4 linked regions of the Diceros bicornis minor genome follow. The protein of the gene in region 1 purifies or fractionates together with the protein of each later gene. This does not show direct contact. Links are inferred from orthologs where the notes say so. Each region holds a gene or a part of one and is shown on either strand. Other genes may lie near its edges.

Region 1 (7,189 bases):
AGCCATGGCTTCTGCAGTCCACCTTTATGGTCTGAGGGACCATAAAGGGCAGCCTGGGCAGGTGGTGGCGAAGCCCAGATTGTGACTGCAGACCCCACAGCCAGGGCAAGGGCAGCAGGACACGGCTCCTGCCAGTTCCCATCCTTGAAGTCAGAGTGGCTTGGGGGGCTCCCCACACTGCATGGCTCCCTCTTTCTTGCTTCCCTCAGACCCCAAGCTCTGGTGACTTGGACAAATGTGGGCCGAAGCACAGGAATTCCTCCTCCATGTTACCTCACCTGATCACGGCAGCGGACAAAACTACAACACTCTTCTCGGAACAGGAGCAGCCTGCGGGGCTCCTACCACCCCTGGCCTCTCCTCTGCGTCCCCTGGAGGTACAGGGACTTGTCTGTGGTCCCCGCTTCCCCTCCTTCCCTGAACATCTCAGCTCTATTCCCAAGCAGCTGGAGTTCCAGAGACATGGCTCAGATCCTGGATTTGCAGGGAGTTAGAGCCACTGAACCCCAAGATAAAAGACACCATGAGGGGACTGAAGGTGGATGAGGTGAAAGTTAAGGATTTGGGGAAGGCAGATAGCCTCCAAAATGGGCCTCTGACAACCATTCTCCTAGAGTAGCTATAAAGTGCTAACCCAGATGACCCAAGACAGTGGGGGTGGAGAGGCTCAGCACTCTTCCCAGCCTCCTTCAGGGCGCTGTTTAGACAGTGGGCCTGGTGGAGGGTGGGTGAGCTTCGGGCATGGAGGTAGCTTACAGAACAGAGAGGTCAATGAGGAAAAGAGAAAAAGTTTCCGATCTTTTGTATGAGAGCCTTGCTCTGGGCTGGGTGTGATCACCTCCTGGCTCAGAACTATCCACCACCTCACAGCCCAGCACCCATGATTGGTCAGACCTCCTGCCTAGAGCCTGTGACCCAGCTGGAGATGAAAGTGTCCTCTGTAGCGAACACATCAGGGCACAGAGCTCCAGCCCTCGGCCGCTCTGCCCCTGACGGTTCTGTAAGGACCTTTGGGACCCTAGCAGGCAGTGGAGTGCCTCACAGCTAATAAAGTCTGCACATTTCATGTTGAGTTGGGTGTGTAACTTACCTGAGGGTCATCAGGTTCTTGACTGTGCAATGACCCCAACATCTGTTGTCTTGTCCAAGCCCCTCTCAAGGGAGCTGTGTGCTGGGGACCTGAAGGTGGCTCCATCAGGCCCAGGAGCCCCTGGATCATGGGGCTCTTAGCCAGGCTGGGGTGAAGGGAAGCAGAGAGGTGCTGGCTTGGTGGCCATCAGGAATCATGACAACAGCAAACACTTCCATAACACTAACTGAGTGCTGGGTACCATGCTGACTGCACTGCAGATATTAGTTCACCTAATCTGCACAACAACCCTGTGGGGTTGATATTATTATCCCCATTTTAGAGATGTGGGATCAGAAGCAGAGAAAGACTAAGAAAGTTACCTAACCATATGAGGGGGACTTCTGCGGTGCTGTACTGTTCTGTTCCCTGATCTAGGTGCTGGTTACATGAGTATGTTTCAGGTTGTGAAAATACGTGCACTTCTATGTGTAAACTACACTTCAATTTAAAAAAAAAAACAGGGGCTGGCTTGGTGACGAAGCGGTTAAGTTCATGCTCTCCGTTTCGGTGGCCCCGGGGTTTGCTGGTTTGGATCCTGGGTGCAGACCTACACACCACTCATCAAGCCATGCTGTGGTGGTGTCCCTACATACAAAAAAATAGAGGAAGATTGGCATAGATGTTAGCTCAGGGACAATCTTCCTCAAGCAAAAAGAGGCAGATTGGCAACAGATGTTAGCTCAGGGCCAATCTTCCTCACCAAAAAAAAAAAAAAAGAATCTTGCCCAAAATTATAGGAAAAAGAGGATGTAATTTCAACCCAGATGGTCCAGCTTGAGAACATGTACAGTTAACTACTCCATTGAAATGGGCTATCGTCCAAAAAGTACCTGGTCACTGGTCTTCAGTCCTTTTTGTTCCAGTACTCCCTAAAAAATTTTGAAAATGTATTTCTCCCTTCATACATTTTTAAGTTGACGTCTGAAGTATTTCATTGATAAGTTTAAAGAGTTGCAAAGGATGTAATTTCCAGTGTGTTGTAAATATTGACACTTTATAAATGATACCATTTATATTGATCCATTTCGATCCAAATAGCATAGTGATTTGAGAGCCAACATCATTCATTTTAAAAACATCAGAACAAGCTCTTCTTTAACATTATTCCTTTTTTTCTTCTCATAATTCCATTCTATTCCTCCCACAGTTTATGCTACATGTAATTTATTTCCATGCTTTAAAGTCTATTATTGATAAACTTATCATATCTCTTTGCAACACAAATATATATATATGTTGAAATTTTAAAATCAATTTTTTGTAAACTTTCTAAGGCTTTACGGGTTACACTTAGTACAGAGTTGTTCAAAACAACATAAATATGTATTCAAATTCTTATAAAAACAAATTTTATTGGAAATGCATTTCTTAAAAAAGGGTATTTTCCTCTCAATTAGTTCATGTGTGTGGATGAATATCATTTTTTTATTAGAATAATAATATTCAAGGTTCAACATTTTTTTGTTGTTGTTAGGAAAATCAGCCCTGAGCTAACATCCATGCTAATCCTCCTCTTTTTGCTGAGGAAGACCGGCTCTGAGCTAACATCCATTGCCAATCCTCCTCCTTTTTTTCCCCCAAAGCCCCAGTAGATGGTTGTATGTCATAGCTGCACATCCTTCTAGTTGCTATATGTGGGATGCGGCCTCAGCATGGCCGGAGAAGCGGTGCGGTGCTGCGCGCCGGAACCCGGCTGCCGGTAGCGGTTAACCACTAAGCCACCGGGCACGCCCCTCAACATTTTTGTACCTATTTATTTTTTTCTTTTTTAAAAACTTACGCACAGAGAAAACTTGTTCACATAAGTAAGTAGATGGGAATCTAAGGGATTTGTTATATATGGCAGTGTCACTCAATTTGAATTCTTTCTGAGTTGTCTGTTAACAATCACATTTATCATTGAAAACTATATTTAATGATATCATCTAACAATTCAATACAATCCTTTAATTTTACTGAAAGCAAAGAATTGGAAACCATTTAAATTATGGAGACATTACCTAGATGGGACCCTCCTCCATTTCAAACTCACTGGCACAGGTATACTTAGGGCTTGATTCAAGCATTTGCCTTAGGACCCTCAGCGGTGAAGGAACGGGAGGGCAACCACAAAAACTTAGAGCCAAGCTGCTCGGGTCGCTGCCTACTGAATTCCAACCCTGCAACTCTGCGTGTTTCTACAATGGCCAGGAAAGCACGGGACGGTGGCCAGGAAAGCACAGGACGGCCCGACTGAAGCTGGCCTGGCCCTGAGTACACCGGCGGGCCTGCCCTTGGGGCACTGGGAGAACAACTCTCCGGCTTAAACAGGGCGTTGGCACGAGTGGGGAATTAAGGTGGTTCGCGTGTAGCGCGGGCCAGGCTGCCAGGCCGCGGGGCTCAGTGACGCGAAATGCAGCAGGCCCTCAGGAAAGGCAGAATTTTAATTTTTACTCGACAGAGTGGCATAGCCACTCGGAATAGCACCTGCACAGGGGGAGTGAGAGCACGTTACACAAGAGCTCTCGCTCTCGGAGACTTGGCCTAGAACTTGAAGGCCTGCCGCTCCGCACGCTAGCCTCCTATGCCTCCCACGCCCTCACCCCATTCACGCGCACTGCGCTGTTATCTCTCTGACTGACATCTTTGTCAGCCAATGACCTTCGGGACTGCGAAAGCGCCGGGGCCCCCCCCTCCCTTGGAATTGGGCAGGGCAAGTAATTGAAATGACAGACATTTACGCCAATAGTGAAGAGGTTTCAGAAGTTACGGTGCAATAGCCAATGAGAAGAAGGAACTGTTCGAACGGACGTGTCAGGCAGCCAACGGCCGGCGCCGCTGCGTGGGCCGCGTGGCTTCCGTTCCGAGAGGGCGGGGCGGCGTCTCAAACGGAAGGTGGTGGTTGTCCGAGCCGAAGCGGGTTTTAAACTGAGGGTCGGGCCCGGCCGTCGTTGTTTGTTGTCGCTGCCCCGCTTCCGGGCTAGGCCGTCTCTGCCCGCCCCCGCCCCGCCTCCCTTCGGACCCTCTCCGTCTCCGGCCCGGCTCTCTGCCCGACCCGTGCCCCGCCCGCCGCAGCCCGCTGTAGTCCCGGCCCGCCCTGCGGCCCCGCCGCCGCCACCATGTCCCTGCACGGCAAACGGAAGGAGATCTACAAGTATGAAGCGCCCTGGACCGTCTACGCCATGAATTGGAGCGTGCGGCCCGACAAGCGCTTTCGCCTGGCGCTGGGCAGCTTCGTGGAGGAGTACAACAACAAGGTGGGCCGGGCAGGGGCTCGGAACCCGGCTGGCGGGGAGCGGGCCCCGGGAGCGCCCTCTCCGGGCTGGACCCCAAACCCCAGGACCCTTCTGCGAACTTGCCTTAGCTTCACGGAGCGGTTCCTCTGAGTTTGGCCCTGTGCAGAGGGTTTCGCAGTCGTTGTCTCGTTTAATCCTGGCAGCGTTCCTGTGTAGTCAGGAGTGTGGTTACCCCCATTTTACTGATGGGGAAACTGAGGCACAGTGTTGTGACTTGCCCGACTCAGACAGCTGTTTCGTGGTGGAAACAGGTCTCAAACCCGAGTTTCCACCCAAATCTGTGCCCTTTATCATTCCTGTCCTCCTCCTCTCCTGCCGCATTGCTTCAGTTGTGGGGCGAAGGAGGTAAGAGAGAGGGATGGATATGAAGGAAAAGGCTGGCTCCTCAGTTGGTAGTCATTCACTCCTGGCTACACCAGATTTCTCTTAGGACTCTTCACTGCGCGGGCTTCCCCGCCCCCTACTCCCACTCTCTGGTACTATTCATGCCCCTAGCCCTTCTGCCAGGATTGCCATTGCTGTTGCTGCCTGATATCCGTCGTTTTCAAAGCGATCTCTTTCTGAAAATCTTGGCCCATGGCCGTGATCCCGCCGTTGTTTTCTGAGTAGAGAAGGATGACACTTGCCGTGTCTTTTCTTGCCTTCTTGCATGCTAATACAGCTGTGTAACCCGAGTAGTTAAGTTTCTGGACATCCAGAATTTGAGAACCCTTCCTAGAAGCACGGGTAGTAGGAGGTAGCTTTGAAGCTGGCAGTGCAGCATAAATTTATTTTTGAAAGTTGTTGAATAAGTCAATGGGGAGAATTTTCTTTACCCCTTTATCTCTTCCTTTTATTGTATTAGAGTAAACATTGTGATTGATAGTGATCAGAGCAACTGAAAGCCTTGGCTAATGGTGTTTAAAGCCTGTGCTCCTGCTTAACACCATGAACAGCATGATTTAAGAGAATAAAACTGTATGGACAGTGACAGGCATGGTGCAGGGGGAAAAAGCCAAATGGTCTAGGGTTGAGTCCTGTCTGGTCCATTGACTAGCTATGGGGCATTGCACAGGTCAGTCTTGTTTCTGACTCACAGTTTATTGTAGGAAAGGGGTTCTTTTTTATACATGAAGGTCATGTAAAAACTATTTGAACATAGTAAGTTTGGTTACAGTTTTTCAGGAGCACAGCTGTTTCTCTAGAGTTAGGTCTTAAATTTCTTTGGAATTCCCTTTGAGAAACTGATGAAAGTGATGGGCTCTCATTGCCCAGACATTACACGTACACAATTTACAAACAAATCCCAGGGAGTATGCACTGATCTTGTAGTCTACCCATTGTCCACAGAAAGCAGAGAGTCCTGAGTAAGACATAGCTTTATTTTTTTTTCTCTGATGCTTCTTTCTTCCTTATGGCCCATAGTAGACAGCAGAGCTGGGAATGGAATTCAAGGTCCTAGTGTGGAAACTGTGTTAGTCAAGTTGAGACCGCTAGAACTATTGTTTAAGGATACATGTTAAAAAAAAAAAAAAAAAAAGCAAAATATGTCTTTCAAGGGGCTTGAGTTTTTTTCACCCAAATTGATGTGTGTTTTTTTTTTTTTTTTCCTTGCAAGTTCTTCCAGCATCTATTTGGGTAAGCAGTAGTAGTCCCATTTCTAAGAAAGGAGAAACAGAGCCACAGTTAGGCTGCTGGTGGAATCAGTGGAGTAATTGACATCAAACCTCAGTTACAGTAACTCTGCCCCAAAGTTTGTCCTTTCATTTAGCAACTGTATAGAGCTCTTTCTTTGTGCCAGGCACAAAGGCAGTGTGGTCTTAGTAGTGAAATGCAAACTAATAATCCTAGTAGTAAGGGAACAAGCAGTTAACTATGTTAACTCACTCCAGTGATGTAGGCAATGCAGTGTCTTAAAACTGTTTTTGTGCCCCCACCTATCTAGGTCAGGGTTCTTAACTTTTGTGTGTGTGTGTGTGCACCATGGACAGCTTTGGCAATCTGAAGCCAATAGATCTCTTTTCATAATTATGTTTCCAAATGCATAAAATACATAGGATTACAAAGGAAACCAATTATTTTGAACTACAGTTATCAAAAACATTTTTTAAAAAGTGGTGATATATTGGGGCCGGCCCTGTGGTATATTGGGGCCGGCCCTGTGGCTTAGCGGTTAAGTGCGCGCGCTCCGTTGCTGGCCGCCCGGGTTCGGATCCCGGGAGTGCACCGACGCACCGCTTCTCCGGCCATGCTGAGGCCGAGTCCCACATACAGCAACTAGAAGGATGTGCAGCTGTGACATACAACTATCTACTGGGGCTTTGGGGGGAAAATAAATAAATAAAAGTTAAAAAAAAAAAAAGTGGTGATATAGTAATATGTACTTTTAAATTAACTCATTAGATTACACCATCCAGTGTAATTATTACTGTAATTTTGAAGTAGTAATGAGGGTAAATGCCATTTTAAGATGTTTAATTACTGTACTGTGATATGAAAAAAAAATCAGTGATTTCTACTGGTGACGGAGTCACAGATATTGATGCTGCTGTGAGTAGCTGCCTCTGTTTGTAATGGAAGGAAATGCTAAATTTCAGTTAGAGATTAGTGAAAATATGAATGATTCTCCAATTCAGGTTCACGGACCTCAAGTTAAGAAACCTGGCTGCAGAGGATCTGTGCCTAAGGGATGGTGGGCAGTAAATCCCACTTTAATGCAGTGATTCTCAGGTTCAGTTTTGGAGAAACCTTGCTTTGGAGGCGCCAGACTTCATAATTTAGAGGAATTGACGAATTACCGGTT
Region 2 (7,388 bases), on another chromosome or scaffold:
AGAAATAACCCGGGCTCTGAGAATGCTCTGCTTCAAAGAGTGTGACTGGGCCGAAGTGGTATATACGGTATACCAAGAGAAGGGAGAGAGAATAGGAAATATTTCTTGGCAAGTAGGGAAAGGGGACAGGGGAGAAAAAGAAAATTATTAGGGAACCAAGAAAGCAGCGGGAGAGGAAACAAAAAAAAAAAGAAAGAAGAGAGGGGGAAAAAAAGAGAGCCGGGGAGGCGAGCCGAGAAGACTGCAGGCCGTGGCAAGGCCCCGTGACCAGTCCAGGCAGCGGCTCCAGCAAGCCGTGTGCCTCCGCGGCCCCGAAAAGAGGCGAGGGCCGCCCGGGACAGTCCTACACCAGCCCCACGAGTCTGGGCCCCGCTCCCAGTCTGGAGGGGCGGGCCTGGGTCCAGCAGCCTCCTTGCACTCTTTCTCTACCCCCTCCCAGGGGACCACAAGGCGGGGCGGGACCGGGGTGGGGAGGCCCCCAGGGGCACACGCCAGTCCGGGACTGTTTGGGCGCTCTGGGCCAGGCTTTCCAGCTCGCCGGGCCTGACCTGTCAGGCGGATTATCTTCGAGGGAGATTAATAGGGGAGGCGGGCTGCAATAATAATCGTTTTGTTTGATGTGACAACTCTGATAGGCGTTGATTTACTTACAAACTGATAGGCTTTTAATTGAGCGCCTCCGCCGAGCCCGAGATGAAAGGCAAGCGGCGGTGAAAGGCGGCCCGCCTGCCCTCCGGCCTCAATACTGATTAGCCATCTCGACAGTGAATAGTTCAAGGCATTTTCAAACTTTTTTTCCTCAGCTCTCTCCCCTTCCTTCTCCTCCCACCCCCTCCTCAAATATCTGCCGTGCCTACTTCTTTTTTAGAGAAAACAAATCATTTCCATTGTGTGCAAATAAAACCCGCAGGACATCCACGACAACCGCCGCTGGGGGTTGGAGGCTTTAGGCCTAGCGCGGAGTAATTAATAACTCCCCCACCCCCACCGCCTGCGCAGCCTTCGGAGATTTGGCCTCCCTGGCGAGGTGCGCAGGCTCGGAGGCTGGCACCTCCCGAAAGCCCGGGGCGCGCAGGCCCCTAGGCGCCCCCCTGCGCTCCGACTTTCGGAGATGGGTTTTGCGAAGAGCGAATGCACGCGGACCACGATCCGCGCGCGCAGCACGGTGTAGGCCCCTGAGCGTGTGCGGCCACACCGCTGCACGCCCATTCCGGGGGTCGCGGGGGCCACTCTCTGGTTCCCCCAGGCTTTGGGTGCTGAAGCTGCTGCCTCTAAACAGCCCGGCGTAAAAAGAAAATGGCTAGAATTCCAAGAAAGGGAAAGAACTGAGTCCGGAGAAGGTGGGGAGGGGGAACGGGGGAGGCGAGGTGGGGTCACCTCCCGCTCTAGCCGCCGCCCCCAGCATTCAGTGTCTGGGCCTCGCGGGGAGGCCACGGCGACAGGCGGCCCACGGCTGGGCTCGCAGAGCTAAGGGCTCTACAGTTGATCCGGGCCGACACCTCGACAGCCGAGCACTCAATGACACAGACAGACACTAACACACCCGCAGGATACGAGTGGCCTCACAGACAGGCTGCCCTACAGAGGCAGTTTAGGACTGTCCTGCTCTCAGAAACGGGCACCTGGGACTCGCTCCCCAAAGACTATTCAGACAACCTTCACAACCTCTCCTGTGGCCTCGCCACCGTCTCACGGACTCACCTCCCTCAGTTGTCGCACAGGCAGACACTCCAAACCCCCTTGAACGCAGGTGTGTTCTTACACCTACACACGCGCACACATACACACACCAACAAACCGCAGCCCAAAATACACACCGCCTCACTCTCCTCTTCTCCAAATTATCTTTAGTCAAGTTACCATCTCATGAAGTTTACCAACCTAAAGAATCAAGGGATAAGATTAAAATGCAGGGGAAAAAAATGCCTACAAGATAATTCTAAAACTCACCCCAGAAAGTTCTCGGTACCTGTGCGGAGTGAGAGACAGAGACAAAAATGGGGGAGAGGGGAACGGGGTGGTGAGAGAGGAGAGGGCGAGCACGCCGAGGGCAGGTTCCAGACCCGACTCCCGCGCGTACCCGGCTCAGCTCCGGGTGAGCGCCGCTCGAAACCGGGTCTCCAGGCCGGGTCCCCGCCCCCCGTGCGGGTACAGACTGGCTCCTGGCTCCCTGCGCTCCCTGCCCCACCATTTATCAAAAGGACTTGACAACAAAAGAAGAGCCGTGGCGGAAAAGTGGGGGAGGGGAGATTCAAAGTCTTCCAAGTCCTTCCGAGGAAAGGAATGTGTCCTCCTCTCGCCCCCTTCCAGTTTCTGCGAGTTTCTGGAGGTGACCCCCGAACTCGCTCCGGACGCTACCAAAACCCTGGCAACTCACACAGCGGCACAAGCATACATACACACTTGTACACCCAGATCCAGGTACATGGAGACACGCACAGCGCCTCCCTTCTTCCTTCCAAACAGCGCGAGTGACAGTGCAAATCGAGGGGAACGCGGCAGTCCCGCTCCGCTTCCCTGGAAGAGCCGGTGTTCCCACAGGCAGCCGCCCCCTCCCTCTCTGGCTCCTTCTCTCTGCTCTCCCAAGCGCAGGTCAGTCCCAGATCGGCGTTCCCATTAATTCAAGCGAGCAGCCCGGAGTAACCCTGGCTACCAAGCTTGGAGGGATGGCGCGGGGTAGGGGAGGACTGGGGAGGTGAGCCTGAGTAAGCCTGAGACTTATCCCCCCCATACACCCACGATCAGGCCAGTTCTTCGCAGCCTCTCAGCACTAGCCACGATGGGGGAGGGGAGTCAAAAAATTGAGGCGGGGGCCAGAGGTAACCCCACCATTGACCTCTAGGACTCAAGGTGAGGCTGGCTCTTAGAAGTCTCCAAGTTTGGGGTCGGGGCACTACGGAGGGTGGGGTCCGCGGCAGGCTGGCAGCCTCACATCCGCACGCTACACGCCCCCGAGGGACTACGGCGGAGAGGGGGTAATATCCCATATAAGACGTCGCCGCTGCCCGCCTCGGGTACTGGGAGCCGCGCGGAACTCCGCGGCCCCAACGGACTGAAGTGCCCTGAGGTGGAAGGGTGTATCTCTCTCTCCGACACCGAAAGGGGCGAGGCGCACACCCCAGGCCTGCGCACCCATCTCACCGCCCTGGGCGCACCTGCGCACTTTACTCTTACTATTCATTTTCCTGGCACTGAGCGCCTCTTTCCCTTCTTCCATTCTTTTTCTTGAAGCACCCCCCACCCCCAATCCCAGAAGGCTGCTCCTCTTTCCCCCTCCTCCAGTTCCCCCTCGGTCTCTTCCTTCCTCTCTGTCTCTCTCCCTCTTTTTCCCTTCAAGTCGCACCCGCCTTGTAATCAGCAACAAAAGCTGACATAAATCACGGGCGGATTGACAAGAGCTGACAAATAACTGATTGATTGCGGTCGAGGAACATTGACAATTGATGGAGGAGTGGAGATGCCCAAAGAACTAGTGGGGGGGGGGCAGGGGGAGAGGAAGAGACAGGGTGGCAGGGGAGAGTAAGAATGGGAGGGGGGTTGAGTGTGAAACAGAGGAAACATGTGACCCCCGCTCTTGCCCCAATCTGCGCGTCCCCGGGCATCACGTGGCGGGGAAGGGCGGGGAGTGCGACGCACAGCTAGGAGATGAGCCGCCACCGCCTCCGCTGCCCACCTAGCTTCTGGTTTCTCCACCGCCCAATCTCGGGAAATCAAAGCGGGCGGGCAGACTTCCTCCAACACACGCTACCCACCTTTCCTTACCCTTGGGGCCATGCCGGGAGAGATTTCAATTACCGAGGAGAGAGTATTTGGTGTGGGGGCCTACTGTTCGCACCTAGAGTTGACAGTCCGGCTGTTGTCCAGACTCCCGCCGGTGCTCCTTCTGAACACCCCCTCAATCTGTTCCTCACATGCTCCCTCCTGCAAAAGGTTTCAGTTTATTTTCGACCTGAGAAAAGGAACGACGACGAGGAGGAAAAAAGAGGGCGGCGGCAGATACCAAACATAGAATAAATGTCCAGCTCGTCCTCGGAGCTAAATCGAGGGAGGGGACATGCAGGGGGGGGCGGTGAAGAGGGAGCTGCCCATTAAAACCAGCGCTGAGAGTCCTGGCGGCGGCGGCGGCGGCGGCGCGGGACGCGTCACATCCCCTTGACCCTCCAATCACCTCGGGCTCCCATTTGATTGGAAGGCGGCAAAGGCTTTAATCTCCCCCTCGGTGCAGCTGCTTTTGAAGTGAGTTTCCTCGCCAGAGCCCCGGCTGGACAGGCAGCGGCTCACATCGCAGAGCGCAGCGCCAGCGCTGGGCCGCGAGTGCGCAGCGCAGGGGCACAGTCCGAGGAGGACACCGCGAGCCACCCAGCACTCCTGCAGTCGGGCCGGCTCCTCCCGCTCGGCCGCGGCTCCGCTGCGGGCCACCCAGGATTATTCGCTTCTGGCTCCAGGCGCCGAGAAGGCGCGCTGGGCGCCCCTGGCCGCCGCGCCAGCTCCTCCTCCTGCTGCTGCTCCTGCTCCCCGGGCGAGCGCGCAGCCCCGAGCCCGCCCCGAGCCTCCCGGAGCCCTCCCCCCGCTGCTCCCATGCGCGCGGGTGGGTCATGAGCACAGCGCCCTCGCTTTCTGCCCTAAGAAGCAGTAAGCACAGCGGCGGCGGCGGCGGCAGTGCGGACCCTGCCTGGACCAGCGCGCTCTCTGGAAATAGCTCTGGCCCCGGCCCAGGCTCGTCCCCGGCCGGCAGCACCAAGCCTTTTGTGCACGCCGTGCCCCCCTCTGACCCTCTCCGCCAGGCTAACCGCCTGCCCATCAAGGTGCTGAAGATGCTGACGGCACGGACTGGCCATATTTTGCACCCCGAGTACCTGCAGCCCTTACCGTCCACTCCCGTCAGCCCCATTGAGGTAAGGACCCTCTCCTCGTATCGCGCTAGGACCACCACACTGGCTGTCGCTCCACGAGATTTCTTTCTCTTGGGATTGGGGGTGGGAGTGGGGGGCTCGGAGTGATTCAGCTCCGGGATAGGGGGCGAGGATAGTGCTCCCGCACCTTAAAACTAGAGCGGAAAGGGGAGGAGGTAGAATGCGGTGTGAATGCTGAGGGGCAAGGCAGCCAAAACTTGTCTCCCTTTGGTACTAAAGCCCCTGCCCCGACCCAGGCCCCCGCACTCTCGGCCCGGAAGACGGACGAGAGTCCGAAATACGGTTCCAAAGTCGCAGTCCTCCGCTTCCCCAGAAGCTGGTATTTGTACACAGCCTCAGGCACCAACTGCTCGAGCCCTTACTCTGAAGAATTAGGGATGTGTGTTGGGGGGGGGGGTACAGTTCTGGCGCTAGGAGTCAGAAACCAAAAGATTTTGTGAGTTTTTAAAAAAAAACCAGTTAGCGCTTAGAGAAGGCAGGAAAGATCCTGATTTGGGCGGCGGAGAGGGGGCTGCCGCCTTCTCAGGGGCGAGAATGTGTGTGTCGTGGGGGAGCCGCCTAGAATTACGCCTCGGGGCTGGAAAGATCTTCGAGGGCTGCTGCGGAGAGGCATTTGAACTCTAGAAGCCAGGATTCTAAAGGGTTTCCCGTTTTTTCTCTTTGTGCCCCCCGCCCCCATCTGACCCCGCAGCTTGATGCCAAGAAGAGCCCGCTGGCGCTGTTGGCGCAAACATGCTCGCAGATCGGGAAGCCCGACCCCTCGCCCTCCTCCAAACTCTCCTCGGTCGCCTCCAATGGGGGCGGCGGGGGCGGTGCCGGCGGCGGTGCTGGGGGCGACAAGGACGCAAAGTCGGGCCCCCTCAAGCTGAGCGACATCGGCGTGGAAGACAAGTCGAGTTTCAAGCCGTACTCTAAACCCGGCTCGGATAAGAAGGAGCCGGGAGGCGGCGGCGGCGGGGGCGGCGGGGGCGGCGGAGGGGGGGTTTCGGCGGAGAAGTCCGGATTCCGGGTACCGAGCGCCACCTGTCAGCCATTCACGCCCAGGACAGGCAGCCCAAGCTCCAGCGCCTCGGCCTGCTCGCCTGGAGGCATGCTGCCTTCGGCCGGGGGCGGCCCAGAGGGCAAGGACGACAAGAAGGACCCCGACGCTGGCGGCGGCGGTGGCAGCAGCAAGGGCTCCGGGGGTGCCTCGGCCGAAGGTGGACCCACGGGATTGGCGCACGGCCGGATTAGCTGCGGCGGCGGGATTAATGTGGACGTGAACCAGCACCCAGATGGGGGCCCCGGGGGCAAGTCTCTAGGCTCGGACTGCGGCGGATCATCGGGCTCCAGCTCCGGCTCGGGCCCCAGCGCGCCCACCTCCTCCTCGGTGCTGGGCTCTGGGCTGGTGGCACCTGTATCGCCCTACAAGCCGGGCCAGACAGTGTTCCCTCTGCCTCCCGCGGGCATGACCTACCCAGGCAGCCTGGCTGGGGCCTACGCCGGCTACCCGCCCCAGTTCCTGCCACACGGCGTGGCGCTCGACCCCACCAAGCCCGGCAGTCTGGTTGGGGCGCAGCTGGCGGCGGCCGCGGCGGGCTCTCTAGGCTGCAGTAAGCCGGCCGGCTCGAGCCCCTTGGCCGGGGCGTCGCCGCCGTCCGTGATGACAGCCAGTTTGTGCCGGGACCCGTACTGCCTGAGCTACCACTGCGCCAGCCACCTGGCAGGGGCGGCGGCAGCCAGCGCATCGTGCGCGCACGATCCGGCCGCTGCGGCCGCGGCGCTCAAGTCCGGATACCCGCTGGTGTACCCCACGCACCCGCTGCACGGCGTGCACTCATCGCTAACGGCTGCCGCCGCTGCCGGCGCCACGCCGCCCTCCCTGGCCGGCCACCCCCTCTACCCCTACGGCTTCATGCTTCCTAACGACCCGCTCCCCCACATCTGCAACTGGGTGTCGGCCAACGGGCCGTGTGACAAGCGCTTCGCCACGTCCGAAGAGCTGCTGAGCCACTTGCGGACCCATACGGCCTTCCCCGGGACAGACAAACTGCTGTCGGGCTACCCCAGCTCGTCGTCTCTAGCCAGCGCCGCAGCGGCCGCCATGGCTTGCCACATGCACATCCCCACGTCCGGCGCTCCGGGCAGCCCCGGGACGCTGGCGCTGCGTAGCCCCCACCACGCGCTGGGACTCAGCAGCCGCTACCACCCCTACTCTAAGAGCCCGCTCCCTACGCCCGGCGCTCCCGTGCCCGTGCCCGCCGCCACCGGACCCTACTACTCCCCCTACGCCCTCTACGGACAGAGACTGACCACGGCCTCGGCACTGGGGTATCAGTGAGGGCTGTCGGGAGGGCTAGCGAGGGAGAGAAAGGAGCTGGGGGGAGGGGAGGGGCGGGAACAGGGCAGAGGCTACTGTCACCCGCGCTTGGGGATGACCCGGGCCAGGAAAGGAAAAAAATATATACCGTATCTATCTACCCGAAACAGCGACCG
Region 3 (7,659 bases), on another chromosome or scaffold:
TGGTAAAGTTGGGCTTTTTCATCTATAGTTCTAGGCTATAGATTTTTCACCTATAGTTCCAGACTAGGCTGGGATCTGGGCCTAGTCTCTGCATTATACCACCCCCTCTCAACAGCCAGCAGAAGCCTCAGTCCTCTTCCTGTCCTAAGCCTTACCTCACTGTCAGACCACCCACTGAGTTCCTGTTCTTTGATGTTTATAGCTCCAGCTTGCATATCATTTACAGAGTAGTAATAATGAGCTACCACTTTCTGTGGGTTTGCTAAGCACCAGACTCAATACTAAGTGCTTTATATTAAAACATACATATCATCCTGTCATCATTTTGTTGCCGTCAGACAACCCTAAGAGGTGGCTGTTATCCTTAAATTACCAGAAGAAGAATCTAAGGCTCAGAGAGGTTAAATAACTTTCCAAGGTCCCACAGCTAGTTAAATATCAAGGCTGAGATTCAAACCTGAGTCTCTGACTCCACACCTTTAACCCTTGTGCAGAGGTAACTGAGACATTGCTTACCAGGCAGAGAAGGCCTTTCCTGACTTAGTTCCCCAACTTCTCTTTGATGACTTTCTCCCTTCTTTCTCAGTTATCAGCTGTGGGCAAGAGAGTTCAGTTATGAGTTATTCATATTCTCCCAGAGAATAGTTTTCCAAAAAGAAAGGAACCAGTATTGAATACTTATTGGACCCTTATTGTGTTGCTTTCACATCCCTTCACCCACTACAGGTTTATAATATCATGTCATTCTTCTGCTCGAAGCTTCCCTTCTTTTTTTTTTTTTTTTTTGTGAGGAAGATCAGCCCTGAGCTAATATCCGTGCTAATCCTCCTCTTTTTGCTGAGGAAGACTGGCTCTGAGCTAACATCTATTGCCAATCCTCCTCCTTTTTTTTCCCCCAAAGCCCCAGTAGATAGTTATGTCATAGTTGCACATCCTTCTAGTTGCTGTATGTGGGACGCGGCCTCAGCGTGGCTGGAGAAGCGGTGCGTGGGTGCGCGCCCGGGATCCCAACCCTGGCTGCCAGTAGCGTAGTGCACGCACAGAACCGCTAAGCCACGGGGCCGGCCCTGAAGCTTCCCTTCTAATTGCACTTAGAAGAAAATCCAGATTTCTGACCATGGCTTTAAAAGGCCCTGCATGCTGGCCCATACCTACATCCCTGGTCTCATCTCTGACTACTCTGCTCCATGCACACTACTCCCAGCCATCCTGGTCTCCTTGCTCTTACTGGAATACATCAATCTCCTTCCACCTTACAACCTCTGTACTTGGTTTTCTTGCAGCTTGGAATGGTCTTCCTGAGATCTTTGCCTGGCCAGTTCCTTCTCAGACTTCAGGTCTTACCTGCTTAGAACAGCCTTCCCTAATAATCTTGTCTGAAGTTTTACCCTTTTCCTCCCATCACTCTCAGTCACATCGCTTTATTTCGTTTTATTCATAGCACTTTCCACCATCTGAAGTTATCATGTTTATTTGTTTACTTTGTTGGTTATTGTCAGTCTCATTTATTAGGTACGTTTTTTGAGATAGGCAGAAATTTTGTCTGACTTATTCTCTACTGTATTGCTAGGGCTTGTGACAGTGTCTGGCACAGAGCAGTCTCTCAATAAATGGGTATTGACTATATGAATGGATGAATGACTGGTGATCAGTCTGTACCAACAGAAGGAGAAGAGTGGTTCTCTGACAAAGGGGGCCTGAGAAATGGCTCCAGAGAGGGTGCCTATGTGGGAGAAGATTGGAACTTGGAGAGTGGGACCCTGACCTCTCTCCCCTTGCTTTGCAGGCCAGAGGCACCCAATGAGTTCTATGATGGAGACCATGACAACGACAAGGAAAGCGACGTGGAGATTTAAGAGCGGCTAGGCTTGCTGTATCCCAAGGAATTCCTTTTTACCTCTTGATTGGGTGGGAGGGAAAAGGTGTGGCTCCCCTAGCCCTGGACCGGTCACCTTCCGGGTTTTTACCAATGCTAGGGGAGGGTTTGGAGACCACATCTGGTTCTCGAACCAACTATCCCCTTTCCTCTCCTTCCCAAGGCCTGACAATGGTACCTATTAAGGATTGGGTGGGGACAAGGATAGCTGTCTCTAGGACATCTTAAGCAGTGGGCCCTACAAGCCAATACCAGCCCCTCTGACCCCCTTATTCCTTCCCTGCTTCCCTCCAACCCAGAGACTTTGAGGGCTGAGGAGTAGACAGGACTGAGGTTGCCTCTGACTTCCTCCTTTCCTGGGTCCAACTGCAGGCCTTACTTCCAGTGCAGGTGAAGATTGAGGGATTTTAGGGGCCTCTGGCTCCCTAACACCTTGAGCCCAGATGATGAGAAGTGCGGTTTTGAGTTGGGAGAGGATGTGAAAATGTCCTGTTCTGACTTTTGGTTTTATGTCCATTTTACCACTGTTTTTATCCAATAAACCAAGTTGGTATTTTTTGTACCTTTTGCCTTTCTGGTAATATTCTTAATTTTTGCTAGCTGCCCAGATATGACAAGAGAGGAAATGGAAGTGATGATGTATATAATAAAAATCATACTTAACATTCATTTAGCACTTATGTTAGGTATATGTATTCTGCATGGATTATCTTACTCATATATAGGGAGTTAATAGAGCATTCTGGTTAAGAGTTAGACAAACCTGGGCAGATTACTAGCTTAAGAGAGGGAGCAGAGGATAACTTCAGGTTTTTGAACCTGGGCATTTGGAATGGTGATGCTGGTTGGTGAAGATACACTGAGATAAAATATGTCAAGTGCTTAGCACAGTACCTGCCATAAGTAGTTGCTCATTATCTTAACTGTCTATGTGAAGAACAGTGCTAGATACTGTAGTACCTACAAACATGGTCCCTTCCCTGGAGGAGTTTACAATCCAGTAAGGAGTGAGATAAATGCTATAGCAGATGTGGACAGTGGTACAAGAAAGAAGAGTAATAGATGGGTCACTCTTTCCATGCTTGGATCCTGTCTGCTTCTCAACACTCTAGCTTAGAAAGTAAGTAGCTTTTGAACTGTTTTGGACAAATTGAGTTCAAAGTGTGGGCTGGACAGTTCTATGCAACTTTTCATCAAGCAAATAGAAAGTGGAACACGAGGTAAAGGCCAGATTTAGGATCCAGCCAGTTTGGCGGAGTCCCTGTAGTATACTAGGCCCTAGCCTGAGCACTGGGGGCTCCAGAGTAAGTCACTGACTCTGCCCTCCAGGGACATACATTTGAAATCTTTTGCCAGCTGTGGGCAAGATAATGTTGTCCATACTTTGAGGCCCTACTAGGTACCACTTACTTTTCACACAAGAGACATGTACCTGGGAGAATGGATGAAATTACTGAGGGGGAAATCAAGCTAGTAGAACAAAGAACATACTCTTGGAGAACACCTGTTCTTTTCACTCAGGTTTGGTTTATGTCAGTAGGGAATCCTGGTTAAACATAGGGCTTGGCAGTCAGACTAACCTGGGTTTAAATTTTCTATCAATTATGTGTTCTTGGGCAAGTCACTTCAACTCTCCAAGTTCCAACTTCCTATCTGTAAAATGGTGAGACTAGTGGAATCGATCACATGGCATTGTGAGGATTCAGTGAGAAAATACATGTAGAGGGCCGGCCCCGTGGCTTAGCGGTTAGGTGCGCGCGCTCCGCTGCTGGCGGACCGGGTTCGGATCCTGGGCGTGCACCGACACACTGCTTCTCCGGCCATGCTGAGGCCACGTCCCACATACAGCAACTAGAAGGATGTGCAGCTATGACATACAACTATCTACTGGGGCTTTGGGGGGAAAAAGTAAATAAATAAATAAAAATTATAAAAAAAAATACTTGTAGAGTGTTTTGCATAGTACCTGGCAGAGAGCAACTGCATTGTAAATGGTAACTATTATTACTGTTTAGGCATAAGTTGGCAGTAAGTAGTTTTTCCAGATTAGAAACACAACTAGAAAATAGCAGACCTGGGATTCAAAACTAGGTAATCTAACTCCAGAGCCAGTCGAGTTCCAGTCTAGCACTTGCCCTGCACCAAGCTCTGTTCTTGGCACATAGCTTTCAATAAATGGTAGCTGTTACTTCTTTATTTTTTCATGTTCTCCATAGGTATGGCCCACATAAAAACTGTATTATCCTGGAAAGCCTGGCACTACATTTTCTGCCAAGATAACAGTCTCTTATGCGAATTTTGGTTCAGATAATATCCTGGTCTGGGGTGTCAGAGGGTCCAGGTTTTACAGCCACGTGGGCACTGTGTGGGAGCGGGGAGGCCTGCGCCGCTCCAGCCTCTAGGGGGCGCCGTTCCCTGTTGAGGCCGCAGAGAGTTGCACCGCCCGCTCACCACCCCCCCACGTGAATCCGAATGGTTAGGCCCGCCGGGCAGGTAGCGCGTTTCCGCGGCTTCCCTCCACCCCTGTCCCTTCCCCCATTGGTAGGGGCTGCGGGTCCGGGCGGAAGTGGGGCACGCGGGCGGGAGCTAGGCGTCGCCGTTGTATATTCATGAGGCGCGCGCAGCCGGCATGCTAATAAGGCGGGGCGCGGCAGCGGGCTAAGGAGCTGCTGGGCGGCGGCAGCGGCAGCTTGCTCAGAGCTGCCGGGCGGGAGCGGCGTAGGCGCAGGGTCACTCTCCAGCGCGAACCTGGACATGGAGCCGCAGGGCGGGGGCCTGGGGCCCGGCCGCGGGTCCCGGGACAAGAAGAAGGGCCGGAGCCCGGACGAGCTGCCTTCGGCGGGCGGCGACGGCGGCAAATCCAAGAAATTTGTGAGTGTCCCTCCCGCCCGGCTCCCTCAGCCTGGCCCCGTAACCGCCCACTGGACCCCGGAGATCCCCGCAGCCGGCCCCAGGGGTGCACGCCGGTCTCTAGGGAGCCGCCTCCGCGCCTCCCTTCCTGGTTTTGCTCGGTCCTGGGCTCCGCAGCCCAACATCCTAACCCCCCGGGACCTCGGGGAGCCCCAGAGTCCCACCCGGCTCTTGCCCCGGCAACCTCGGGGCTTCCTTCGTCCCCTAGCCCGCACGCTCTGCCTCCGCCCCCATAGCCCCGGCCGGTCTCAGCCCCATCTCTTCCCTCTCAGCCCCACTTCCTTTCTTCTTCCTCTATTGCCCGAGGTATCACTATCTTGGTTCTCTGTGCTTTTCCGGGTCCATTTTCGCTTATTACCCTTCCCCCCTTTTTTGGTATTCTCTTCTTTGCCTCTCCAAAGGTCACTTCCTTCTCTGAGATTGATCCCTTTCACCTGCTAACTTTCCTCCCCCCCGAGTCCCACCTCTGGGCCCTCAGCCCGGTGTCACCTGATAATTCTTCCCCTCAGGAATGTTACGTGACTTGAGCCCTACCTGCCCTCCTCCCTTGGACGTGTCCTGGCGATTGCAGGAATGGGTTGCTGCCCAGGTGCTGTGGTCACTGGTCATGACGTGAATTTGCTTCCCAGTAGTTCTCTATCCAGAGAACCTGTCTCTCTGCCCTGTTGCTTATCACTTTTCAGGGAGGTACAGCTTCTCTCATGCTCGTGCCCTTCTTGAGCTAGGATGGTGATAAACCTCCCCCGTGGGGAGGAAGTTAGTCGGCAAGTCCAAGAAGTTTGTGGGTAACTGTGTTGCTTTTTATACATTTCCCATGATAACCATCCTCTACTCTTCTGCCACCTCTTGTGCCCCAAGGCTACTGAGATCCCTTTTCCCACCTGTAGAAGAGTGTTGCTTTCCTCAGGTGCCAGTTACTTCCAATCCGAGTCTGAAGGAATACTGATATTCATGTAACACTGTCATTTTTCTTTACCTTTGCCCACACTAAATGCTCTTTTTTACTCCTTTCTCCAAGGAGCTGTTTGCTGCTTACGGTAAATGCTTTGAAAGATATGGGGCACTATCCAAGAGAGGGAGAGTCTTGTATCTTAATAATCATTTGCTAGTTGTACCTGTAGTTACTTAGTCTTCTCTTCCAGGTAGTCACACCCCCACTCCAGTATCTCTTTTTACTAACCAAATGGCTTCTCTTTCCTCTGTCTTTCTCTTATCCCCACTTCTTAGCGTTCTGACCCAACTTAAGTTTGAGAAGAAAACTGACAAAGTGATGGAAACAGGAAGAAAGTGTTGCTTTGGGACCTAGAGGGTTGAAGCGTGGAGGGGACTAAACAGAATTAAAATAGTGACTCATCTCTTCCTATTTCTAGCAAGGCAGGTGCTTCTAGACTGTCCTTTCCAGTGACTTACAGGCTGTTAGTAACTGCCTGTTTTTATCTGGCCAACACCGTTTTTTTCCAGAAATGTAAATAGTAGTGGTGACCCTCCCCATATGGTGACTAAGGCAACATTTCCTCGTTTCTTTAGGATAAGACTCAACCCTCTAGTTAGAGAGCTTTCCTCCTAAGACTTAAGTTCTAGGGCCCCTATTCTATTTCTGTATCTTTTTGTTTTGCTTTTGTTTCCATGGGTACTGTTTGACCTTCCTCACCCGAATTCCAGCTACTCCTGCTGATTTATAGTGACCTCTGTGACTTGTAAATGTTTTTCAAGTACTTAATAGAATTTTATGTGTGCTTTTTTTTTGATCTAACACTTGTGTGTTTCACAAATTTGTGAAATCTACTAAGTGTGTGGTGCTGAAACACCTCAGATACCTGAGGAAGCTGAACTTCTTTTCACCTGTTTTTTGGAATGTCCATGGAGTCTTGTATATGCTGAGTGGATTTGGCTCAGAGCTGTTGGTATTTGCTTTGGAAGAAGGTGGAGCTGAACCAAGTTCTCTTTTTCTTAGGTGTTGGTCTTAACTCTTAACCTGCTGAATTTTAAAATGTATGTAGCATTGCACTGAGGAGAATTGCACTGGTAGCTAGGGGATTGGAAAGTTTCTAGGAAAGTAGTGCTTCTTACCCCCTTTATTGCCAACTATAATGTACCTCAAGGCATCAAAATATTGTCTTTCTCATTGCTCTTTTTATGAGAACTCCGTGGAAATGAGAGACTAGGAGGAGCATTGCAATCCACTTCTCTTTGTGGCTGTGTATGTATATGTGGGTGGGTGGAGTGGGTGAGATGGCTGGTGTGCTTTTGTTACCCATGGCTTAGTTTTCTTGAACTACAGGCTAAAAGTGAACTCAAAGCTGTTTCGCCTACTCCACCTTTTCTAGAGTGTGTCCTCTGGAACTCCGTTAAGAATGTACTTTATGAAACTGCACTGGTTTGTGACTTAGTGTGTGCGAAGGTTATTTGTTTGCATCTGAGGGGTTACTAATCTCTTTAGCTGCTGCGTACCTTTCCAGGCTTATGCAGGTTCTAAATACAGATCAGCTGATGAGAACAGAGCTCACAAATTGCCTAAGATCTACTCTTACCTCCTGAGGCATTTGTGTGGAAAGGACATGGAGTCTGAGCTTAAAAAGTGGTTGGGAATCATCTTTTAAAAACACGTGGTGGTTAGAGTTCTGACATTTGTGGCTGAAGCCAGGCTACTTGGTATTCCCCCTTGGTTCTTCCCCCTTGGTTCTTCATAAGTCTGTCTTCTCCTGGGCCATGAGCGTGTTTATCCCTTCTCTGGCATTATTCTAGTTCCTTTCAGAAGTCCTTAAGATGAAGGAAAATAAAAATTCTGAATGAATAGAGTGTTTTCTGACTTTTCAGCAGTGATGAATGTGGGTGTCAAATAGACTGATTTCTGAAATGTGTGTAAGGGGAGT
Region 4 (7,599 bases), on another chromosome or scaffold:
CACAAACATGTACTTGGGAAAAGATACTTGAACAGCTTATATAGGTAACATTTTGAAATATACAAAGTCATCCGCCTTGAATCTTTTTGGGAATCTGATGAGGTGTGAAATCAATCAATAGCCTTCTCTGTGTAAAATTCTTATTCATTCATCAACAAACATCTATTGGGCACTTATGGCATTCAGACTGCCTGGATTCACACCCCAGCCCCACCTCTTAGCAGCTGGGACTTTGGGCAAGTTACTTAACCTCTCTGTGCCTCCATTTCCTCCTCTACGAAATGGGGTAATAAGGTAATGACAGGACCTACCTCATAGGGCTTCTGTGAGAATTAAATGAGGTAATGCATGCAAAGTGCTGACAACACTGCCTGGCTCTCAGTGTTGGCTACTGTGAGGATGATAAACACCTTGCTAGGCCATAAGAATACAAAGAGGATGGGCACAATAGAGCAGCATTCGCAGTCCAGTGAGAGAGTGGACAAGTAAACAAACAATGACAGATGCCATGTGATAAGTGTAATAATAGAACATAATAGAACTATGAGAACATGGAAGAGGGAGCTACTCGAGGGGGCTCCCTGCAAGGCTGGCTGTTCTGGTTTGCTCCCACTGTTCCTCTGCCCGTCTGGCCCTCTCATGCCCAAGCTGGGTCTGCAGCCCGGGGATGGGGCAGACGGAGGAAGCGCCTCCGAGTGCCCTGAGCGCAGTGCGCGAAATCAGGGCTCCCGGCCAAGACAGTAATTGCCAGCCGCTGAAAGATATTAAGCGCCAGGGAGGAAAACCAAGTTCTCTATGAGGCAGACTTTTCAGAGTTCTTACAGCTTATTAAAAAAAAAAAAATGTAAATAGTTACCCAGTGAGATATTACTTCACGTTGTTGCCATTAGGGTTTGAGTGTTATGCAGAGAGAGCCGATCATTCAGGCAATTCTGCCTCAGCGAGGATGGAAAGCTCCACGGTAACCCCACACAACAAACCTCCCACCTCTAGCTCTCCACCTGACTCAGGCATTTTTTCCTGGGTGGCGAATTTTCTGTAAATTGAAGTCGTGGAAAAAAATCTATAAATATTCAGAATTTCCTAAAGGATTTTCTTGATGGCTTGTGGGGGCATTTTTTTAAAAGACAGATTTGACTGGTGGCTGGGGGAGGGGGTGACTCTCATTTCCGGAGAATTCTTGGACAGCTTGGGTCTTCTGGTCTGTGCCCTCCGGATCGGTTGGCACCATGGCTGCTCTCCAGAGCAACTGCCCCACAGATGATGCATGGACCACAGCCCTCATTTACCTGTGCCTTTCTTAGTGCCAAGCACTAAACGTGTGACATGCGTTGTCTGCTTCCGGCCTCCCAACTCTGAGGTGGCCACTCTTGCGTTTCGCACATGAGAAACAACAGCTTGGGGAGGTTAGCTTGCCAGGGACCACCCCAGCATCATGGTTCAGAGGCCTGCCTCCCAGAGCCCAGACCCCAAGTGACCGTTCTGCCACTCACCCGGCATGTGACTTTGGGCAAGGGACTAAGTTCTCCACGCCTCCCTCTCTTCAGTTGTCAATGGGCATGACAACAGTACCTGATGTTTATCAAGTGCCCCACGCACAGAATTGTTATTCTTCACCACAATGGCACGGGGCAGTCTCCAGCAGCATAGAATTGTTACTCTTCACCACAATGGCACGGGGCAGTCTCCAGCAGCGCTCACCCCTGTCCTATTTTAATGGTGCTGCTCACTCCCAGGGCAATCTGAGAAGGGCCTGGATAGATGGAGACCCCTTAATCATACATCTGCCACTTTTCTGCAAGGGGAGGCCGTGTGCCATATACCCTCTGCGACAACGTCTTGCACGGACTTTTCAACCACACCCCTAGCACATGCTCTGCCTACAGCTGGCCCTCAATAAACCTGGCCCAACTGAATACTGAGCCTTATTCTCTTCTGGTGACAAGCCATTCCTTTGAAAGCTGTCCTTGCTTTAGACTACTAGGGCCCCTTTTAGGACTCTGTATAGGTTACAGGTTCAGGTAAGTGAATGTCAGATCCTGATTGTAATAATCCTCTAGCTGTCTTTTAATTAGGCTTCCGGCCTGGCTAATTATGGTGTTCCATGTTCTCTCCTAAGGCAAATGGATGGAGCCAGGCAAAGGAGCCCTGCTGCCCTTACCAGCACCCCAAAGGGAAGGGTGTCCCTACTCCCTTGTTAGCATTTTCCAATGTGGTGGGAGTAGGGGGACGCCAGGTCTGGTCTCCACCTCCACGCTGTCTGGCGCCCACTGTTCCTATCAGTGATTACTGCTGTGAGCTAAGGGAGTGGGGTTTTTTAAAGGACAATATATTATTACCTAGGCAAATTCCCCACCCGCCACCACGAGCCATCCTGTCCCAGCCTCCGCCTTTCTCCCTTTCTTTCATTCGTTCACTACCTTCTTCTTCTCTCTTCCTCTCCAAATAGAGAGTAAACATTCTATCATCCTCTGTTCTCCTCTCTCCTTTCTGCTGCCTCCTGCTCCTCTTTTCCTTCCAAATTCCTAAATGCCCTTTCTCTCTCTCCCCCTCCCCTTTCCTCCCAACTGATTTCCCATTAATCATTCCTAACACACACATCTGCTTGGGCCCTAGAAGGAGTTCTTGGTGGGCTTTCACAGCTGGGCTAGTTACAATAATCAAGAAGGAGTCTTTCATCTTTTACTGTCCCCTAGGTCTCCCCTCTTCCCAGCTCTTCCTCCTCCAAGGTGCCCCAAAGGCCCACCCTCTCCACTCTGGAAGGCACTCTCCTGTTCGCTGTCGGCATAGCAGTCTCCCAAAGGCCGAACGGCCCTGTAGGTTGAAGAAGCCCTGTAATGTAGTATTGGCAGTGACAGCAATGTCAGACTTCAGAGGCTGGCATGAGAAGAGCTGGGGGGGCGGGGAATAGAGACCACCACAATAAAATAAATGGGATCCCCCCCTGCTTGTATCCCTCTTGCTGCAGTATGAAAGACATCTCCCAGTCAGGGCAGCCCTTGGCATTTTTTTAACCTGTGTATTGCTAAGAGGTCCACTCATACTGCCCCAAAAATCAGCACGGATCCAGGGAGTAGATTTAGTTTAGTGTATGATTGTCATGGCCTGGGAGTGGTGCCTGCTGTCTTCACTGGGCATGATAAAGGTTCGTGATTGCTATTTGTTATTTCCGTGATAGTTATTTCTTTCTGTTTGAAGAGCCCCTTTGAAATCACCTATCCCCATCTTGAGTTCTCATGTTGTCTCAAGGCGCGGCAGAGTCGGGGACGGGTAGTCCTGGAGCAATATGCCCCGAGCGACAGGCCTGACAATCGGAGTGATGGATTGGGGCTGGGAAAGTGGTACTCGAAGCGAGACAGTGTCACCAGCGCGCCTCCACTGGCCGCCGAGAGCACGGAGACTTGGTCTAGCCGGAGGCCGGCGCACAAAGGACCAGCTTAACCTTCTGACGATCGCGGACCGGGAACTTTAATGTCAGGACTATGACTATGTAAAATCTCTGCCAAGTGCGAATCTGGCAACGCACACTTTATCCGAAAGGCGCGCGGCGGGGAGGGGGGAAGAGGGTATTGTTATTTTTAATAAAAAGTTTTTATTCCGAAATTTCCCTGGGAAAAGCTAGTGCATTACCCCTCCCCCCAACACTCGCAAGAAGGATGGGGGGAGGGGCCGCGCATCTCTGGAGTTTGTAACGACCTGCAGCACCTAAAGAGAGATCTCCCCTCCTCTGGGATACCGGCCTCTCCAGTGATCCCGGCTTCCCCCAAAATAGCAACTAGGCGCGGTGCAGGGCAGGAATTTTACGCCTCTAAACTGGATACGATAGCAAACCTGAAACACACCCAAACACCGAACCTATAAATCAGCGCGCGGCCACCGCGCGCCAGGCGCGTCGGGGGGTGCGTATAGCCAGGGGTACCGCGCTTCATCGCGACCATCTCACCCTGGAAGGGAGTCCTCAAACTTGCAGGCTTCGGACAGGACTGGCTCAAAGTAGTTGGAGCGGCTTACGCCGCGTCCCGAGAACCGTGGACGCCTCCGACGCTCGGACGCTTCCAAGCAAGCACTCCCGGGAGAAGCCAATTAGGGGAAGAGAGCTGAACCGGAGCAGAGCCCGAGCAGGGCTGGGGCTCTGGAGGCGCGGCCCGCCCCCAGGCGGCCTCTGGGAGCGGCTTGGACTCCGCAGTACCGGAGCCGGCGCCGCGCGCTCCTACCCCCCACCCGACCCCAATCCACCCCACCCCAGACACCCTCGGCCGGCGGGTCACTGCCCTCGCCAGCACAACACCCGGCGGTGTGAAGGGAAAGGAGAGAGCGAAAGGAAAACCAGCCGAGGGTAGGGCGCAGAGCCCAGGGTCCCGGGGAAGTCTCGTCCTCCGCGGGACCCCAGGGCAAGGGCGGCCCAGTGGGGGAGGGAAGGAGTACCGCGGGTGGTAAAGGCCGGGGCGGCGGCGGCGCGCAGGCGAGGCCCCTTTAAGGCTCTCCCCTCCCACCGGCGGCGCCGGCCTCCGCCCGCCGCTCTCCCCGCCCCGGGGTCCCGGCGAGAGCTGCGATTGGGCGGGCGCGGCGATCCCTTTGAAGTGTGGCTGCCGATCGCGGCTATTTGACGTGCGGCTCGCGGAAGGCGAAGGTTTTTGTGTTGCTCGCCGGGGCTAGCGGCGGCGGCGGGGCTGCGGCGGCGGCGGTGGAGGAGGGGTGGAGGCGCAGCGACTGCTGCACCGCGCCCGACGCTGCGGAGCGAGCCCACCCGCCCCGGGAGCTCGCCTCCCCGGTGCTCCCCCTCCCTCCCCGCCCCCCCAGTGGCGCTGCCTCCTCCAAATGAGCGATTCGCCCGCTGGATCTAACCCAAGGACACCCGAAAGCAGCGGCAGCGGCAGCGGCGGCGGCGGGAAGAGGCCGGCGGTGCCGGCGGCGGTGTCCCTCTTGCCCCCGGCGGACCCCCTGCGCCAGGCGAACCGGCTCCCTATCAGGGTCCTGAAGATGCTGAGCGCTCACACCGGCCACCTCCTGCACCCGGAGTACCTGCAGCCGCTGTCCTCCACTCCCGTCAGCCCCATTGAGGTCAGTCTCCTGGTCGCTGCCCGCCCAGCGCCGGCCCCATTGCGCCCACCACGGCCCGGCCCACGGCCCTGCTCCCTGCGCCCCGGGGCTGGGTGCGACGCTCGTGTCGGGCCACGCTGGCGGACGGAGTGAGGAGAGACGGAGAACAGAGGGATCAGAGCCCACCCGGTTCTCCCCAGGCTTCTCCGTGGAAGGTTCCCCTTCCACGCTCGCCCTGCGGAGCTACGTGTTTTCTCTCCGATTGGGTTTGCTCTTGGAGCCTCCACTGGGTCCTTTACTTTTCCTCTGGGCACCCAGTTTCCAGGCCAGAGATGATATCGCCCTGGCGTTTCCCACCCCCCACCCCCATCCCGGTTTGGTCTCTTTGAAGCTCGGTCGCCCCCGTCCCACTCCGCCTCTGTCCCATCCGGTTAGAGCTCACTACGCCCAGGCACTCCCGATCCCAGGTCTTTCTTCCTCCCACTTCCCTGGGTGCCCTCCCCGGGAGGGAGGGGCTACCAAGAGAGCGCCAACGGCAGCCCTCGCTTTAGCGCTTTAGAATGCGCTTCTCCTCACTCCTACCCGCGGCGCCACCGCCAGAAACCCGTCCCAAGCGAAGTTCCCCAAACTGAAGGAATAAGTTTTTCCCTGGACATAGAGAAGAGGGTGATTAGAGGGAAGGGGGAGTCACAGCCTCTCCCCCAGCTTCAACTCCAGAGAAGTCACCATGTCCCGCAGTGCCTTGGGTGGACTGCTTCCAAGGCCCCATTCCCCGGGGCCTGTGGCGCACTCTGGGCCCCCGGGAAGCGGGGGATCCCACCGACGGGCAGTGTGAGCGCTGTTCCGCCCAGCCGCCCCGCACGGCCGGCCCTCGCTCTCAGACCCTCTCGCCAAGGCCTTCCCGCCCCGTCCCGCCGCCTACCGTGGTCCCCGCGCCCCCCGCCCCAGCTCCCCAGGCACCCCCGCTTGCGCCGTCGGTCTCGTAGTCTCACCCCCATCTCCCTCCTCTTGCCGCTGTCTCCCACAGCTGGACGCCAAGAAGAGTCCACTGGCGCTGCTGGCCCAGACTTGCTCGCAGATCGGCAAGCCGGACCCGCCGCCCTCGTCCAAGCTCAACTCGGTAGCGGCGGCGGCCAACGGGCTGGGAGCGGAGAAGGACCCCGGGCGCGCGGCCTCGGGCGCCGCCTCCGCGTCCGCGGCGCTCAAGCAGCTGGGGGACTCCCCGGCCGAGGACAAGTCCAGCTTCAAGCCCTACTCCAAGGGCGCCGGAGGCGGCGACTCCCGCAAAGACAGCGGCTCCTCCTCGGTGTCCTCCACCTCCTCCTCGTCCTCCTTGTCCCCGGGAGACAAGGCGGGCTTCAGGGTCCCCAGCGCCTCCTGCACGCCCTTTCCCCCGCACGGAGCACCGGTCTCCGCGTCGTCGTCCTCGTCCTCGCCCGGTGGCTCCCGGGGTGGCTCTCCGCACCACTCTGACTGCAAGAACGGTGGCGGGGGTGGCGGCGGGGAGCTGGACAAGAAAGACCAGGAACCGAAGCCCAGCCCGGAGCCCGCGGCCGTGAGCCGCGGCAGCGGTGCGGAGCCCGGCGCACACGGCGGCGGCGCCGCCGAGGCCGGGGCCTCCGGGCGCAAGTCGGAGCCGCCTTCGGCGCTGGTGGGGGCTGGCCATGTGGCGCCAGTGTCACCCTACAAACCAGGCCACTCGGTGTTCCCGCTGCCTCCCTCCAGCATCGGCTACCATGGCTCCATCGTGGGCGCCTACGCCGGCTACCCGTCCCAGTTCGTGCCTGGCCTGGATCCTAGCAAGTCTGGCCTTGTGGGAGGCCAGCTCTCGGGGGGCCTGGGCCTGCCTCCGGGCAAGCCCCCCAGCTCCAGCCCGCTCACCGGGGCCTCCCCGCCCTCCTTCCTGCAGGGATTATGCCGCGACCCCTACTGCCTGGGAGGTTACCACAGCGCCTCGCACCTCGGCGGCTCCAGCTGCTCCACCTGCAGCGCGCACGACCCGGCCGGGCCCAGCCTGAAGGCGGGGGGCTACCCGCTGGTGTACCCCGGGCACCCGCTGCAGCCCGCCGCGCTCTCGTCCAGCGCCGCCCAGGCCGCGCTCCCGGGCCACCCGCTCTACACCTACGGCTTCATGCTGCAGAACGAACCGCTGCCGCACAGCTGCAACTGGGTGGCGGCCAGCGGGCCGTGCGACAAGCGCTTCGCCACCTCGGAAGAGCTGCTCAGCCACCTACGGACTCACACGGCCCTCCCGGGCGCGGAGAAACTTCTGGCCGCCTACCCCGGAGCCTCGGGCCTGGGCAGCGCCGCTGCGGCCGCTGCGGCCGCCGCCTCCTGCCATCTGCACCTCCCCCCGCCCACCGCGCCGGGCAGCCCCGGGTCGCTGTCATTGCGGAGTCCACACACTTTGGGGCTAAGCCGGTACCACCCCTATGGCAAGAGCCACTTATCCACGGCTGGGGGCCTGGCCGTGCCATCCCTCCCCACAGCTGGACCCTACTACTCACCATATGCGCTGTATGGACAGAGACTAGCCTCAGCCTCCGCGCTCGGATACCA

What was found.
Region 2: the proteins of DCAF7 (region 1) and ZNF503 purify together in Homo sapiens (affinity purification with mass spectrometry; 4 studies listed by BioGRID and IntAct, counting the BioPlex papers as one, with this or other methods). This does not show direct contact. The link is inferred for Diceros bicornis minor from reciprocal best matches to the Homo sapiens genes DCAF7 and ZNF503.
Region 3: the proteins of DCAF7 (region 1) and DIAPH1 purify together in Homo sapiens (affinity purification with mass spectrometry; 5 studies listed by BioGRID and IntAct, counting the BioPlex papers as one, with this or other methods). This does not show direct contact. The link is inferred for Diceros bicornis minor from reciprocal best matches to the Homo sapiens genes DCAF7 and DIAPH1.
Region 4: the proteins of DCAF7 (region 1) and ZNF703 purify together in Homo sapiens (co-immunoprecipitation; 5 studies listed by BioGRID and IntAct, counting the BioPlex papers as one, with this or other methods). This does not show direct contact. The link is inferred for Diceros bicornis minor from reciprocal best matches to the Homo sapiens genes DCAF7 and ZNF703.

The regions. Positions count from the first base shown.
Region 1 is NC_080757.1:46,427,141-46,434,329, forward strand, and holds the start of DCAF7 (DDB1- and CUL4-associated factor 7), read left to right. Parts: upstream 1-4,044; 5' UTR 4,045-4,230; coding exon 4,231-4,368; intron 4,369-7,189. Other genes in the region: KCNH6 (potassium voltage-gated channel subfamily H member 6), read left to right, coding at 210-494. UniProt on the Homo sapiens protein: Involved in craniofacial development. Acts upstream of the EDN1 pathway and is required for formation of the upper jaw equivalent, the palatoquadrate. The activity required for EDN1 pathway function differs between the first and second arches.
Region 2 is NC_080745.1:31,464,537-31,471,924, forward strand, and holds the start of ZNF503 (zinc finger protein 503), read left to right. Parts: upstream 1-4,160; 5' UTR 4,161-4,595; coding exon 4,596-4,895; intron 4,896-5,604; coding exon 5,605-7,233; 3' UTR 7,234-7,388. UniProt on the Homo sapiens protein: May function as a transcriptional repressor.
Region 3 is NC_080740.1:59,774,142-59,781,800, reverse strand, and holds the start of DIAPH1 (protein diaphanous homolog 1), read left to right. Parts: upstream 1-4,553; 5' UTR 4,554-4,630; coding exon 4,631-4,747; intron 4,748-7,659. Other genes in the region: HDAC3 (histone deacetylase 3), read left to right, coding at 1,787-1,856. UniProt on the Homo sapiens protein: Actin nucleation and elongation factor required for the assembly of F-actin structures, such as actin cables and stress fibers. Binds to the barbed end of the actin filament and slows down actin polymerization and depolymerization.
Region 4 is NC_080768.1:34,456,024-34,463,622, forward strand, and holds the start of ZNF703 (zinc finger protein 703), read left to right. Parts: upstream 1-4,530; 5' UTR 4,531-4,818; coding exon 4,819-5,061; intron 5,062-6,067; coding exon 6,068-7,599. UniProt on the Homo sapiens protein: Transcriptional corepressor which does not bind directly to DNA and may regulate transcription through recruitment of histone deacetylases to gene promoters. Regulates cell adhesion, migration and proliferation.